2 linked regions of the Diceros bicornis minor genome follow. The protein of the gene in region 1 interacts with the protein of each later gene in a biochemical or structural test. Links are inferred from orthologs where the notes say so. Each region holds a gene or a part of one and is shown on either strand. Other genes may lie near its edges. The genes, in order: DGKZ and SNTB2.

Region 1 (7,484 bases):
CCTCCCCCCCCACACCCCCAACCTCCCGGAGCTGAGTCAGGGGCTGCGCTGAAACCGGTGCCAGGTGGAGGGGAGGTCACTGGGCTGTCTGTCACTCAGCCTGGCTCTGGGAACTTTGGGGAGAGAATCCAGGAGGCAAGACTCTTTTGCACGAGTGTGTGCCCGCCCACCCACCCGCTGCCTGCGCTCGCTGCAGGGCCTGGAGCCACTGCTGGGAGAGGAAGTGCAGTCGGTTACCAATCGGGTTATTTTCATAACGGCTGTCTCAGGCTGGGGGGAGGAGGGTGGTGAGGGGGAGGGGGCAGAGGAGCAGCCACAGCCGCTCGCTCTCCAAACTAGGACTTGCTGAGCCAGAGGCCAGCAGCCTGGAGCTGGAGCCAGAGCCGGGGCTCGCCCGCCCACGGGGACCCCGGCCCCCACCCGCCTGCCCACCTCCTGCCTGCCACCCTGCCTTCCAGATCAGGTCAAAGGGGGCTCCCCGCAACCCTTCTTTGTCTTCTGCTTCCTGCCTCCTCTGTCTGTCCGGGTGGGTCTGGGGAGGGGTGGATCAGGGTGGGCCCAGGCACTGCCATCCCTAGATGAGGCTCCTGAAGCTGATGGAAGGGGACAGAGACAGGGAAGGTGGAGCTCCCGCCGCCCAGCCCGGGAGCCAGGCAGGCCCTATGGAGGTAAACACTACTGGCCTGCTCGACTTTACTGCGCAGCCCTGGCCCACCTGCTCCCCGCTGTGCATTTTTGTTTCATTTTGTTTTTTGGCAGGATCCCCTTGGTGAGTAGAGACCTTGGGGAGGCTGGGACCCTGCCTCGCCAGTCCCCGCCACCTTCCCTCCTACTTGGGGGCTGTGGGAGCAGAGCAGCCAGAGGTGGCTTCTGCCCAGCCGCCCCCTGGGGAGGCAGCTCCAGGCCCTTGCTGTGGGGCTGCTGGAAGAGGGGCCGCCGTGCACCATTCCCAGCCTGCACTCAGGAGATGGGCGTGTGGGGCTCTGCCCGCAGCGTGGAACTGGCGCTCGAGCGGAATCCCACAGGGTGTCCTGTGCGGGCACCTCTGGAGGCAGGGGAGTTCCTGGGGGCCGGGCCTGGGACCAGGGGCTGAGCAGACACCAGGTGGCTTGGCTGGCAGGCTCTGTTCCTCATGGGTGGGTGGTGGCCACCCTGGGTACTCCTGCTTCCCTTTCTGGGTTCCCACCCTGCCATGGGCAGAGACAAGCCCAGGAGGTGGCATGATCCACACGCCCTGGTGTCTGCTGTGGGTGTAGGCGCCTACTCTCTGCCGGGTGTCATATCCTCAGGTACGTTATCCCATCATCTCGTCAGAACATCCCTATGCCAGCCTTCTGAACTAGTGGTATCATCCCCCTTCTGCAGGTGAGAATACTGAGACTCGGAAAGGTTGGTTGATCAGCCCAGGAAAGCAGTGGCAGATGCAGGGTTCCAAAGCCTTTGGGCTTTTCCACTTGCAGCTATCATAGGGGGTGAGATGGTCTGGGCTAGGAGGCAACGTGTCCCGTCCTTTCTCGCTGGGGCACGCATACCTGCTGACCCCCACTGTCAGGTGCCTTAGCTCGGCTGCCCGCAGCCCTGCTTGCTGCCGCTCCTCGAGACAACGTGGCCAGACACCACTGTGCATGTCTCTCCTGGACCATCTTTTGTCCTCCCCAGCCCCCAACAGCCAGCTGGAGGTTGATGGGGCCCCTGAGTGCTTTCCCATCCTGTCCCCTTTGGGTGTGACAGGCTTCCCCCAGGCCTCCCACCGGGAGGCTGAGGGATAGCCGTTTTGCTCTGCTCTTGGTGTCAGAACCCTGTGGGGCCTCCTCCAGTGACCTTTACACATACTGTGTGGTGTGTTGAAAGTGACAGAGCGGGAGGTGAGAAGAAGCTGCTGCTCTGAGCGGTGCTGTGGGAAAAGGCTCCAGGCCCAGGCAGAGGAAAGGCTGGGACAGGCCGGAAGCTAGGCTGGGCTTCCGACCAGACCCAGGAGAAGCCTCAGCAGAGATAGGAAGTCAGGAGTCAGGCAATTGCTGACCAGAGGACACAGGTTTCTATGGAGACCAGAGGAACAGGAAGCATGGGGCCTGGGTGAAGGGACATGGGGAGCGTAGAGGCGTGGGTGCCTGGCAGGAGAGCTTGTCATAAAATGTCAAATCCGCCAGTCTGACAGCCTCCTTGAGCAAATAAGGAAACTGAGGCCTGTGAGGGGACAGCTTGGCACATGGGCACACAAAACTGGCCTAGCCTGCCTTGCTCCCTACTTGAGTGACTGCACCATAGGGCAGCCAAGGAGACTCCAGGATAGACGTGGATTTGGGGCTGCCCGGCAGGGTGTGGGCCAGAGCGCTGTGGAGCACCTGTAAGCTGCCCCTGGGTCGTGAGGCAGGTGTGCAGGTGACCTCTTCCTCCTGGCACCTCTCGTCAGTGTGGGTTCAGGGCAGTAGGCAGGGCCCAACCCTCAGCACCTCCCCCACTGACTGTGGCCTTTTGTTTTCTGGGTGACACTAGCATCAGGCGCTGTGTCCGGCTGACTAATCTCCTCCAGTCTGGGCAGCTGTCACAGGGCAGCCTGACGAGACGGGTGGGGAAAGCTGACACCCCGGGGGAGTGCTGGCAGGCTGGTGCCCTGGCAGCAGTGGGCAGCTGGGCCTTCAGGCTCCTCTTCCTGGGTACAGGGCAGACCTGGGTTCAGGTCCAGGCTCTGGCACTGACCAGCCGGGTGACCTTGAATATGTCTAGCACCTCTTCAAGCCTCAGTTCCCTCATCTCTATAATGGAGCCATTGGTCCGTCCTGCCTACAGGGTTGTGGTGGGAATGAAACGAGATGATGAATGGAAGTGCTTAGCCCAGGGCCTGCCCCACAGTAGATGTTCAGTAAATGGGACCATTGTTGTTCTTGCTATGGTTCCCTTCCCTACCGCATCCCACTTTAGTCCCAGCCTTGTGGCCCAAAAGGGAAGACCCTACTCTCCTCCGCATCTCTGGGGTGCAGGCTTTGCCTTCGGGTAGACTTGGGTTCCAGCCTAAGCTCTACACTGACTAGCTGTGGACTGTGGACAAGTTACCTCTTTGTGCCTGTTTCCCATCAGGAATGCCGCATGACACAGTACCTGTTCTTTGGGTTTGCTATGGTTTATGAAACGATGTACATGTTTGTAAGGGGCTCAGCACCGGGCCTGACACATGCGAGCTCTCAGTAAATGTGAGCCGTGATGATGCTGATTTTGGGAGGACGCCAAGAGCTCTCTGCCCACAGAGCTCGCCTCCTGCCCTCTCCCTGTCACCTGCAGGGGAGGAGGACTGTAACAGGCAGGGCCCAGGAGCCGGGCAGTCTCAGGCACTGCCTCCCCAGGCACAGCTGCCTCCACTGCTCCCTGATCACAGGAGCTCAGACACCTTGGCACCCATCCACCTCCCCCTGGGGACCCCTGCACCCATCCAGGGCTGCGGCCTGATGCTGCCTGCCCAGACCCACCCAGTCAAAGAGTGTGGTGGGTGGGTGGGAGGAGTAGGCACCAGACATGTGGCCGAGGCCTGACTCTTCAAGTCCGTCATCTCCCACCGTTTGTCCAGGGCTCCCACCCACCACGCCTGACTCTGCCAGGCCCTCAGCAGGCAGAAGTTATTTCTCCTGTCAGCCCCAGGCGGATGTCCCACGGCCGTGATGGACCCTCCTGTGGCTGCCAGGGCCCAGGAGAGCACCTGATGGCAGGACACAGGCGTCCCTGGGCTCTCTGGGGGCATCGCCCCCTGAAGCATACCTGGTTTCCTGCCCTTCCCCCAGCGTTAGGGAGAGGTGAGGGCGCAGGTGGTCCCAGCGGCTTGTGACAAAGGGGCGGCAGGAGTAGGTGAGCGGGCGAAGAAGGCAGAGCGTGTGTTCAGAACAGGTCAGAGGATGGCTGGAGCAAGGACGGTCACCAAAGGTCCTACCTCCCTGCAGGAGGGAGCTCCAGGCAGCTCAGTGTTTGGGATTTTGAGAGTTGGAGCTTCTGCCTTGGCCCCAGGACAAGGTGCCGTTCACCGGCTCCCGCAATGGCAGAGCTGGGTGGGTTTTCACACGTTACCCGTCATCACACGTGGGGCATCCATACTCTGCCTCTTCAGAAGGGTGAGACAGAGCAGTCTGGTTCCAGAAAAGTCCTTACTGTCAGCTCCTCAGAGATACAGACACGCACTCACACCCAGAATGCAGAAGGCTGTTCTCTTAGCTCAGGCCTCTTGCTGCTTCCCATAGGAAGTTCCCGTGGGTGAAGGCGGCAGTGGCTTCTCTCCTGTGCAGCTGGCTCTCCAGTTCTCTGAGGGCCTCATCTCCCCTGGGTCCTTTTTTTTTTTTTTTTTTTGTGAGGAAGATCAGCCCTGAGCTAACATCCACACCAATTCTCCTCTTTTTGCTGAGGAAGACCGGCCCTGAGCTAACATCTATTGCCAATCCTCCTCCTTTTTTTTTTTTTCCCTTTTCCTTCCCAAAGCCCCAGTAGATAGTTGTATGTCATAGTTACACATCCTTCTAGTTGCTGTATGTGGGACGCGGCCTCAGCATGGCCGGACAAGCAGTGCGTCGGTGCGCGCCCGGGATCTGAACCCGGGCCACCAGTAGCAGAGTGCTGCACTTAACCAGGCCAGCCCCCTCCCCTGGGTCCTTTGATCCCTGAGTCAGATGTCAGACCCTCTCCATTTCCGCGTGCGACCCTCAGCCTGACCCAAGACTGGGGCCAAGAGAGTCTGGGGGTCTTATCAGGACTGAGTTTCTTTTCAGAGAGGCTTGTGTATGCCTTGGTTTGTGCCATGTCCCAGGAACAGACACCTAAACCTAACCTGCCCCATGTTGGTGGCAAAACAAAATCCCAACGAGGGGGAAAGCCTTGCTCTCGCCCTCAGTCTAACTAGTCCAACTCCAAACTGGAACCCAGGCCTCCTCCCGAATTCCAGCTTCCTTTTTCTTTTCTTTTCCGTCAGCTTCAGGCAGGGGAGCCAAAGTCCTTTAGAGGCCAGGGCTTTGTGGATCATGGTGTCTGGATAGGGGAAGCCCCCTCCTACCCCTTACTCCTGGCGCAGCCTGACGGTGTAACCAAGGAGAGCGCCGGTGCTTCCCAAAGCGGGAAATCTGTGCTCCCCTGAGGATTCTCTTGTACCCTCAAACACCCCATTGATGGGGGTCAGAGGCCGTTGTCCCCCACCCTCCCAAGTGTCCCCTCTCTGCTCAAAGGGCAGAGGCTGTGACCGGGCTCCTGGGCACAGGATGGGCCGTGACCTGGCCCAGCTCCTGATGCTCCCGGTCTCTGTGCCCAACAGCCACCCGCCTGCCCCTGCCATGGAGACCTTCTTTAGGAGACACTTCCAGAGGAAGGCGCCAGGCCCTGGAGAGGGGCAGCGGCGGCCCAGCGGCGTGGGGCTGCCCACGGGCAAGGCCCGGCGCCGCTCCCCTGCCGGGCAGGCCTCCTCCTCGCTGGCACAGCGGCGCCGCTCCAGCGCACAGCTCCAGGGCTGCCTCCTGGGCTGCGGGATGGGGTCCCGGGGCACCAGGCGCCGGCGCTCCAGCACCACACCCCCCGCCTGCAACCCCCGCTTCATCGTGGATGAGGTGCCCACCCCACAGCCTGCCACTGTCAGGGCCCAGCTTCTGGGCACACCTCTGCTGTTGGCCAGGCTCATGGGCATGAATGAGGAGGAGGAGGAGGGGGAGAGTGTCCAGGAGGAGGATGTGACAGTTGCAGCGTTGAGTGTGGCCCAGCCAGGCACCGAGAGACCAGGGCCACCCGCACACCAGGGCGCCCATCCCCTGCTGCCCGTGCCCCGCTGCCTGCGCCGGCGCCGTGCCTCCTCCCACCTGCTCCCTGCTGACATGGTGTACGACTCTGCCCTCTGGGGCCTGCACGGTTACTACCGGCGCCTCAGCCAGCAGCGGCCTTTGGGCCAGCACCCTGGCCCTGGGGGCCGAAGAGCCTCAGGCACCCCAGCCAGCCCCGCGATGCCCGCCCGTGTGCGCCCGCTTTCCCGCAGGCGCCAGGTAGCCCTACGGCGCAAGTCAGCCGGACCCCAGGCCTGGAGCACTCTGCTTGCGTAGGTATAGCTGTGGCTGGCAGGGCGAGTGGTGCAGCCTCCAAGGGGGCTGCCGCGGAGCAAGGACCTTGAGGCTCTGCCTGGCCTGAGGGCACCCTGCTTTGCAATAGCTCCGGGCAGTGCCCAGCAGCCAGCGCGCCCCAGAAGGGCCGTGAGGAGGGCAGAGTCTCCTAGAGGGGTCCTCTCAGAGCCTTGGGCTGCCGTGGGGGGTCCTCTACCGTCCCTACTGCTGTCCCTGCCTTGGCCTTGGAGTGAGGTCACAGTGAGGGCAGAGATCCCAGGTGAGGGGGGAAGGAAGCAGAGTTACCAAGTGCTCAGCTGGCCTCAGCTGTCTCCTTTTCTGTAGGAAAGCCATCACCAAGTCGGGCCTTCAGCACCTGGCACCCCCTCCTCCCACTCCCGGGGCCCCGTGCAGCGAGCCAGAGCGGCAGATCCGGAGCACTGTGGACTGGAGCGTGAGTGGCTGGGTACCGACAGGGGCAGAAGGGTACCAACCCCCACAGGGCTCTGGGAGCAGTCGGGGGTGGAGGTACTGTGGGCAGCTGCGAGAGGAGTGCGTGGGCCTGTGGGATGGGGGCAAACCTCCTGGGGTGGCCACATTTGAGCCAAGCCTTAAAGAGTAGGGACAGTGGGGAAAACGGGGTGGTGCAAAGTAAATTGTGGCATCTGGAGCAGGTTTGTCTTGGGAGAGAGAGGGTTGATGGGGCAGGGCAGGGGTGACTGGTGAGCTGGGCGGCAAGCGTGCACTGAGCATGTTTGTCCCATGGTCTAGGAGTCAGCGACATATGGGGAGCACATCTGGTTCGAGACCAACGTGTCGGGGGACTTCTGCTATGTTGGGGAGCAGTACTGTGTAGCTAAGATGCTGGTGAGTGCACTGTGTGCGGCACGCTGCCCCCTGGTGGTGGAGCAGGGTCTAGATGCCTCTAGGCCAACCCCTGCTGGCTGGACACCTGCAGTCCTTCCAGGGGAAGGTGAGAACAAGGCTCTCACCTGAGCACCCCTGCTGTGGGCTGCCTGAGGATGGCGAGAGGAATGGGAGCTGTGTGCCAACTCCAGGAGCCAAGAGTGGGGGTTCCTGGGGCACACGGAGGGCTGCTGTGCTGGGGCAGATGTGAGGATTCCTTGGCCTGCCCTGGAGTAGCATCCTGGACGGAGCCACCTGGTGCCTCAAGGGCCCCCTTGCTCTTTGCTGCAGCAGAAGTCGGTGTCCCGGAGAAAGTGTGCAGCTTGCAAGATCGTGGTGCACACCCCCTGCATTGCACAGCTGGAGAAGGTGAGTGTGGTTGCTTGGCCTTTCCCGCCCCGCCCCTCCGGCTGCTGAAGCCCTCTCAGCACACACGTGTGCCTGCACACGCGTATTCACGTTCCACAAACATCACCTGCTAGGGGTGCCACAGCATGCGTGGTGGTGAAGAGCCAGGGACCTTGGAGC
Region 2 (7,867 bases), on another chromosome or scaffold:
TTCTGAAGTACTGGGGATTAGGACTTCAACCTATAAATTTTGAGGGGACACGATTCAGCCCATGACAGAGTCCATAGAAGGGCTTCAGGGGCTTTGTGAGCCCCCAAGTGTGAATGCTGAATTTTGCACAGGTGTGCATTTGTCTAAGGTGTGTCCACAACATGCAACTGACTCCTAAAGGGGTCCGTGATCCCCACACCCCACAACTGGCTGTTGCATTAACTGACTTGGGAGGCAGTTAAAGCTGTGGGACAAAGGCCTAGAAATACCATCTGCATCGATAGACATGATTTGGTGTTCAATGGTATATGAAAAATGAGAGTTGAAGCTGACTATTAGGACTGTAAGTCTTAATTCTGAGGCACTGGAAATTCTGTTAGAACTGGTATTGGGGGAAAGGGGATTTTTATTTTTGGACCTTACTTGAATTTCGTGGCAAATTATGTAATGTCCATGATTGTCAATAAAAAACACTGGTGATTTTCCATAACTAAGTGGATTCAATGAAACTAACCTTCTGCTTATTATGTCCTTGCTAATATTTTCCTAAAAAGAAAGTCACAGAGCTACAAAACTGTCACCAGCTGCTTCTCATTAGGAATGTGGTTAGCAGATGTGGGTTTTCATAGTCATAACGTATGAGATAGTTAATCCATTTTTGTGGTTTTCAGATGGATGATGATTTATCTTGGCAGGATGAATTTTTAAATGTGCTTACATCAGCTAAAGGATATATGCACCTTTCCCTCTTTCACTTCATGTTTGTGCGGGAGAGAAAAATACCTTTTAGGTTATTTCTCCCGGAAGGCAAAGGAGTACTGTCTGTTGAAAGGGACAATTGATCTCACTGTCTTCTAACTGAGGAAGAGTTGTGTGTGGATAATTTTGCAAAGTTAGGTGTTGGATTGGTTATCTTACAAGCTTCTTTCTCCCTTTGGCCTCTTCTTTAGTAGTAATTGAGCAGTTCTTGCTTTTGTTCCTCTGGCGTCAGGCCGCCTCTGTGGTAGTGACCTTCAGGCTTGCTAAGGGCTGCAATTTTGCCTGGGGCCCTCCTTCCTTATGAAATTGTGTACACAACACTCAAACCTTGGAACCAGCCCCAGATCCACTAATTCTTTGCTTTGACGGACTCTTGGCAATATGTTCTCCCTTTCAGCTGAAGTGTAGCTTTATACAAGATCTGTTTGTCACCGAAATTAATTTGGCCATTTGCCATTTAAGCCTGGAATCATATGATACTATGGCAGACTCATTCCTAGATAAAGTCTAGACTCTCAGCTGCAGAGTTTCTACCAAAGGTTTTATTGTTGCTGCTGCTGAAGGTCAACAGGTAATATACCAGCAGCAGGTACTTTTTATGGACCTCTTACCCTGTACAGGTACAGTGCTGCTAAACGCTTTGCATATGTCATCCCAGTCAACCCTCGCAACTGCCCTTAGAGGTAGAAGGTAGCTGAATTTTTCTGAAGAAGAAACAGGCCTGTGACCTCAACCTTTTGACCGTTATCGTATATACCTAGTAAGTGGCCAAACTACAATTTGAACCTTGTGCTCTTAATTACTGTGCTATATTGTACATCCACTGTGAGGGAGAAGAAAAAGAAAAGACCACTGGTTTTTGAGAGAGCATAGAATCAGAGCCTGAGTCATAGAATTGTAGGAAATTATGGAACTGAGAGAGCTAATCCAACCCCCTCATTTTAAAGTAGCAGTGATCCCTGCCTTGTTCTGAGAAATCGTAAGATAACAGCTTGAGCACAGGAGAATACGTATTGATAGGTGACAGGAATGAAGGGTTATGAGGAATTATCTCAGCCATTTCCTTTTTTAAAGGTAGATAAAATAACATGCCTGTTCAAAGAATTATCTAAGCTTGTCTTGCTGTCCCTAAGAAACCGTGGACACAGATGTGTACTCTTTTTATTTCAGATTTCATTATCCACAGTAAGTAGATTTCCACTGACTACTTGAGATTTCCTAGATGGTAATTTTCACTCTGCAAGGAACCAGTAACCTTCAGAAGGATTATTTGAAACGACTACAGCACAGGAGGCACTGAATTTCAATCAATCACATGTTTAATGAGTTCCTTTTCTGCAAGGCAGTATTTTTGGAATAGTGGGGAATAAAAAGAAGTCGATGGGTGGTCCCTGCCTTCCTGTATTTTATAATCTACTGGGGCAAAACAGCCAAGCGTAGAAGAAAATTGTTCAAAGGAAAAATTGGGTCGTTGGGGAAAACTGGGCTGAGATCTTGCTAGGTGGGAAAGTGGTAGAAAGCGGCAGGAGGTGTTTGGAAGGAAGGACTCAGGAATGTGCAAGGCGTCATTGAGAGACACTGACTGGATGAGTTTGGCCGATCAGAAAGTAGTGATGAAAGAGAATGTTGAAAATTAATTTAGGTTCTGATGGAGGACCTTGTAAAAGCAGCTCAATAATTTGGGAATGTTTTATGGATATATTTAAAAATAATTTTTTACGTAGAAACCCGCAAGTAATCCAAATATCAATCTCCATTACTTTCTCTCCTCCCAGGTTTAAATATTATGTTATATAACTTACTATCTTATATATAAGCACCCTCACTTACCATTTAGTTGGAAGATCTATGACTTCCTCCAACTCTCTTGACCAAAAGGTCTTCATACTCTTGGAAGGAGTTTCCAGCTTCCCTTTTGCTAATAAAGGTGTCCTCAAGTGCCCAACCCTTTGTGAATATGTATATAAAAGTGTTGAAAATAGTGCTCATACTCTAAGGGATCAGCTGCCAAGTGCTCTCTAATAAGCAGAAATTTCACATAACTCAGGCCTCTGGGGGCTCATGCCTCAGCTGGAGAAAAGCCAGAAGTGTCTGTGACTGCAGGTGCGCTGGGGCACATTGGGACCTGCCAAAACAGCTAGCTGGCCTCACTGCAATTGATTTAGGAGAGGGCTAGAGGGTTGAGCTGCTGACATTTGCAGCTCGGAAAATCCTGCTCCATTAATTGCAAAGAAGATTCTGCTGTAATGATTTTTTTGGTAAGATACTTTTCTTATTTTGAATTCTTCCTTCATTTGGGCTCTGGTTGCTTTCCAGTCTCTATTTTTATGGTTTTAACTCCTGGTATAGGAGGCTGTTTGGAAGTTTCTGCCCATACATGCATGTGCATTCATAGAGTGGTGCGTGGACATGGCTTACGAGCTTCAACATGTACTTCATGAGCAAGCAGGTATGCAGCCCCTTTTACAGAAATTGGTGCACATTCCTTCTGCTTGCACCAAATGAAAACGTGAGGATTTCGATTTTATTGCTGAAGGAAAGTTAGACGGCACCTTGAACTCATGTTTTTGCTAAGATCTCTCTCAGCAGTGTGATTTCTGGACCCTCATTTTTGAGGTCTGAGGAATGTAGTCAAGAAAAGCAGTGGACCAGGAGGTGGGAGACCAGACAGTTGTCTCTGCTGCCTCACTGTGGGCTTGGAGCTCGAGTCTTGGGCTCTCCAGGCCTCAGTTTCCTCTGCTCTTCCAGCCCAGGAAGCTGGAAGAAGTGGGTGGATTGCATCACCCATGTCTTAGGATAAAAGCCACTGCAGGCTCTGCAGTGTGCATACAGTTTCTGGGGATGCTCATCTACACTTACCCCAACAAAGGGCCGTGGCCTCCAGAGTAAGAAAGTCAGATCTACAAATTCAAGTCCAAACACTCCAACATTTGATTATATGAGGCTTTTCACACTCATATCCTGCCATCTCCAGGGACCCGATGCTCTGTTCACGTTGGAATTCTGGCATCTTCCTAAGTAATCATCATTCTGCAAATATCTTTGCGGCCAACCTATTGTGGCTGCAGGGCTGAAGAAGACATGGTGCCCTCACACATTGCAGGTAGGAAAACAGGTGATTACAAAGCAGAGTGACAAATGCTTTGATTCATGCCTCTGGACCTTTGCTTATGCAGTTCCCTCTGCTCCACCTATTCACCTTCCATTGTCACCTCTGTGCAGCTGACCTCGGGCCCAACCAAATGTTTCTTCTACTCTGCTCTCAGAGCGTTGTCTAGATGTCACTTAACCACATAGTATCACACTAGGTTGATTGGTTCTCCGTTTTCCTCCCCCACTAGACCGCCAGCTCTCAGCTGTGGTACGTTTTATTCAGCTCATCTCCAGGCCTCAAAAGGAGCACACGGCGAAGCACTCAATAAAGACGGAATGAACCAATCAATGCAAGAGTGAACGTGCAACCCAGTCTTGCAGGCTTGCAAAGTGCTTCTTGAAGCTGATGTTGCCTTCCGTGCCCAGGCAGCTCCGGTGAATTGCACGGTAGAGGTCAGGAGTTTGCGGGGGCGGGGGGGTGGTTGTTGGAGGCGAAAGGAAGGAGAACGCGAGACTAAGCATCACTGCGCTCGGGCTGCCCACGTCCGGTGAGCCGCAAGGGACTGGACTGCGGGCAGCTACTTAAGCTCCCGGAAGCGGCTCGGCCGGCCTCGCCCCTCCCCTCCGGAGGTGGGCGTGGCTCATGAATAATGAATCACCGCCGGGGGGAGGGGGCCGGCCCGCCCCCTCGAGCGGGAAGAGGGAAGCGCCTAGGCTGCCTGACTGGAATGAGGGTAGCTACGACGACTGCGGCGGCGGGAGCGGGGCCGGCCATGGCGGTGTGGACGCGGGCCACGAAAGCGGGGCTGGTGGAGCTGCTCCTGAGGGAGCGCTGGGTCCGGGTGGTGGCCGAGCTGAGCGGGGAGAGCCTAAGCCTGACGGGCGACGCCGCGGCGGCTGAGCCCGAGCCCACTTTGGGGCCGGCGGCGGCCGCCTTCAACGGCCTCCCGAACGGCGGCGGCGCCGGAGACTCGCTGCCCGGGAGCCCGAGCCGCGGCCTGGGTCCCCCGAGCCCGCCCGCGCCGCCCCGAGGCCCGGCGGGCGAGGCAGGCGCGTCCCCTCCTGTGCGCCGGGTGCGGGTGGTGAAGCAGGAGGCGGGCGGCCTGGGCATCAGCATCAAGGGCGGCCGCGAGAACCGGATGCCGATCCTCATCTCCAAGATCTTCCCGGGGCTGGCGGCCGACCAGAGCCGAGCGCTGCGGCTGGGTGACGCCATCCTGTCGGTGAACGGCACCGACCTGCGCCAGGCCACCCACGACCAGGCCGTGCAGGCGCTGAAGCGCGCGGGCAAGGAGGTGCTGCTGGAGGGTGAGCGGGGCCGGCGGGCGGCCTGCGGGCGGGCGGCGCAGGGCTGGCCGTTGCTCACTTTGTGTCTGCCCCTTTTGGGGAGCGAGCCCGCTCCCCCTTTCCGAGTCCTCGCCTTCCCCTCTGCTGGTGGCCCGGCTCTCCCCAGACCCGATGTGCAGGGGCTTTGAGGATGGAAAAACTGATGCTCCCTGCGGGAAAAGTTGGGCAGCCGCCGAAGTGTGGCTTGCAGTCCCTAAGGAAGACTCGGTTGCGATTTAGTAAAAAGCAGGCGCGCCTGAAGCCCGCCTCTGCACGATAAGCTGACACTAAGAACTAGAGGGAGACCGAACGGCTCGAGTTCTGGAGGTCTCCGTTTGCCTCCTGAGAAATGCCGGGTCGGCATTTTCATCACTCACCTCTGGCTCCCCGGGGCGGGCAGCTCTGTTAAAAAAAAAAGAAAAATCAGCCCCACCGATGCCAGAGGTATTCTTGGGCAAACCACCAAAACGCTGGTTAATGTGTGGGAATTTAACCCATCATTGGCTCTCAACAATAACCAAAGGAGATCATAGCACTTCATTGAAGCCAGAAAGCTGAAACAGCAAGTTTGTGTGGTTAATGAGCCTTGTTTAACAGTGGAGGCTCACGTGTTTGAACATTTACTGCCAACTAGAGTTTTGCCTCTTTTGCAAGAGGCTAGTGCCAACTTCCTACCATTCACAGGCCTGCTGCTTCAAGGCTTTAAGCTTTTTAGAAGCTTGAAATGTTAAATCTCAAGATATATTTGAATATCCAGGATTGTTTACCTTAAGTATATATGTGATCTATAACCTGGATCTTTTATGATGAATTTATGGAACTAAGACAAAATTAAATCTCATCTCGTTGAAGGACTTATGCATGTTGGAGGTGATAAAGTATTGTAAGTGTGATCTGAAAAGCCAGTTGCTTGCTTCAGAAATTTTTGAGCCATCGGCTTTCTTTTGCTGTTGATTCAGTCGCTCAAGAAGCATTTATTGCTGGCTGTATAGAAGAGAATATAAAAGGTGATGTGTCTCTAGTTGGAGAAATGATAGAAAAATGCAAAATGTCTTACAAGTTATTGATTATATAGTGTAAACTGTATATAAATGCCAAGGGAATGCAAAGTTAGGATGTAGTTAGTGGAAATCAGGATTAGTCAGGGAGGACTTTTTCAAGGAGCTGAATCTTGAGCCAGGTCTCCAAGGAAGTGATGGACATAGACAGACAGAGATGAGTCAGGAGAGTATTCCTAGCAGAGGAAGAACAGAAGGGAAGGGGTGGGGAGTAGGGGTAGGAAGGAACCAGTTATCAAACTGAGAGGCCAGAAGTCCAGCTTGGCAAAGTGATTTTCACTTTTTTCCAAATCTGCTTGTAAATATTTGGAAAAATATTAGTTTGCAAGTAAGTGATTTAATGTGCTCCAATTGTGAAATTCCAGTGTCCCACCTTTATAGTATTCTATTTATAAATCTTATTTATATCTCACTTATAGGTTGGGCTAGACACTGCTCAGAAATTAGTGTTAATAAAAGTAAAATTATAGATTGTGGCTTGGGTGGTGCATGTGTAAAAAAATTGTTACCGTAAACGTGTACCTTGAGGGGCGGGCCCCGTGGCTTAGGGGTTAAGTGCACGCGCTCCGGTTAAGTGCACGCGCTCCAGTTAAGTGCACGCGCTCCGCTGCTGGCGGCCAGGGGTTTGGATCCCGGGCACGCACTGACGCACTGCTTCTCCCGCCGTGCTGAGGCCGCGCCGCACATACAGCAACTAGAAGGATGTACAACTATGACATACAACTATCTACTGGGGCTTTGGGGCAAAAAAAAAAAAAGGAGGAGGATTGGCAATAGATGTTAGCTCAGGGCTGGTCTTCCTTAGCAAAAAGAGGAGGATTAGCATGGATGTTAGCTCAGGGCTGATCTTCCTCACACACACACACACAAAAAAACAAAAACATGTACCTTGAAATTGGTCTAGCTAAGCATTTGGTTATAAATTCCTAGAGTCGGAATATTGAATGTAGTACTATTTGTGTAGTACTCAGTGGTGATGGTCAGACATTTCAACTCTTTACACCATATTTTTTTTAAAACCAGTTTTTGTTTAGATATAATTTGAACATGGTATTCATACCAAGTAAATGAAAATCATCTATCAAATGCTTCCCAGTATTCATTAGTCTAAAATAGGCCACATGTGCCTTTAGAAGGAGTTTACAAATGGCAGCATAATAACATATTTATTGAATGCCTTTTTACCTAACACAGCTTCTACTTTATTTTCCCATTTTGTAAGAGACAAGCAGTTTTTGTCCTTACATGTGTGGCGAAGTATGAAATTGCACTTTTAAGCCAAGGGATATAAAAATAAAATTACTTAAAATATGCAGAATCATTGAAAACAGTGATTTCATAGAACCAGTCAAACATTATTTAAAATCGAGAGCTGGTATCTCATCCAGGTAGATCACTTTTACAAAGACAGATTTTATGCTTAGCCCTTAAAGTTTTGGAACTCTATTGTCTTTCCATTGGATGTCTCAAAAGTTGAAAAACTGCCTTAACATAGCACACCGATGCTCTTTCGTGGTGTGGGCAGGGAATTTCAGGCATGCCCTTGCCACCCCCAAGCAAAGGAAAGCTGTAGTCTCTGGTTGCCTGTGTTTAGGGAATTGAGCTAAAGGGTTCCTTTTTATCTTGTGGAT

Evidence for each region.
Region 2: the proteins of DGKZ (region 1) and SNTB2 form a complex in vitro, tested with the Homo sapiens proteins (2 studies listed by BioGRID and IntAct, with this or other methods). The link is inferred for Diceros bicornis minor from reciprocal best matches to the Homo sapiens genes DGKZ and SNTB2.

Annotation. Positions count from the first base shown.
Region 1 is NC_080770.1:23,872,657-23,880,140, reverse strand, and holds the start of DGKZ (diacylglycerol kinase zeta), read left to right. Parts: upstream 1-4,441; 5' UTR 4,442-5,138; coding exon 5,139-6,049; intron 6,050-6,395; coding exon 6,396-6,504; intron 6,505-6,821; coding exon 6,822-6,917; intron 6,918-7,247; coding exon 7,248-7,325; intron 7,326-7,484. UniProt on the Homo sapiens protein: Diacylglycerol kinase that converts diacylglycerol/DAG into phosphatidic acid/phosphatidate/PA and regulates the respective levels of these two bioactive lipids.
Region 2 is NC_080771.1:20,700,185-20,708,051, forward strand, and holds the start of SNTB2 (beta-2-syntrophin), read left to right. Parts: upstream 1-4,546; 5' UTR 4,547-4,580; coding exon 4,581-5,160; intron 5,161-7,867. UniProt on the Homo sapiens protein: Adapter protein that binds to and probably organizes the subcellular localization of a variety of membrane proteins. May link various receptors to the actin cytoskeleton and the dystrophin glycoprotein complex.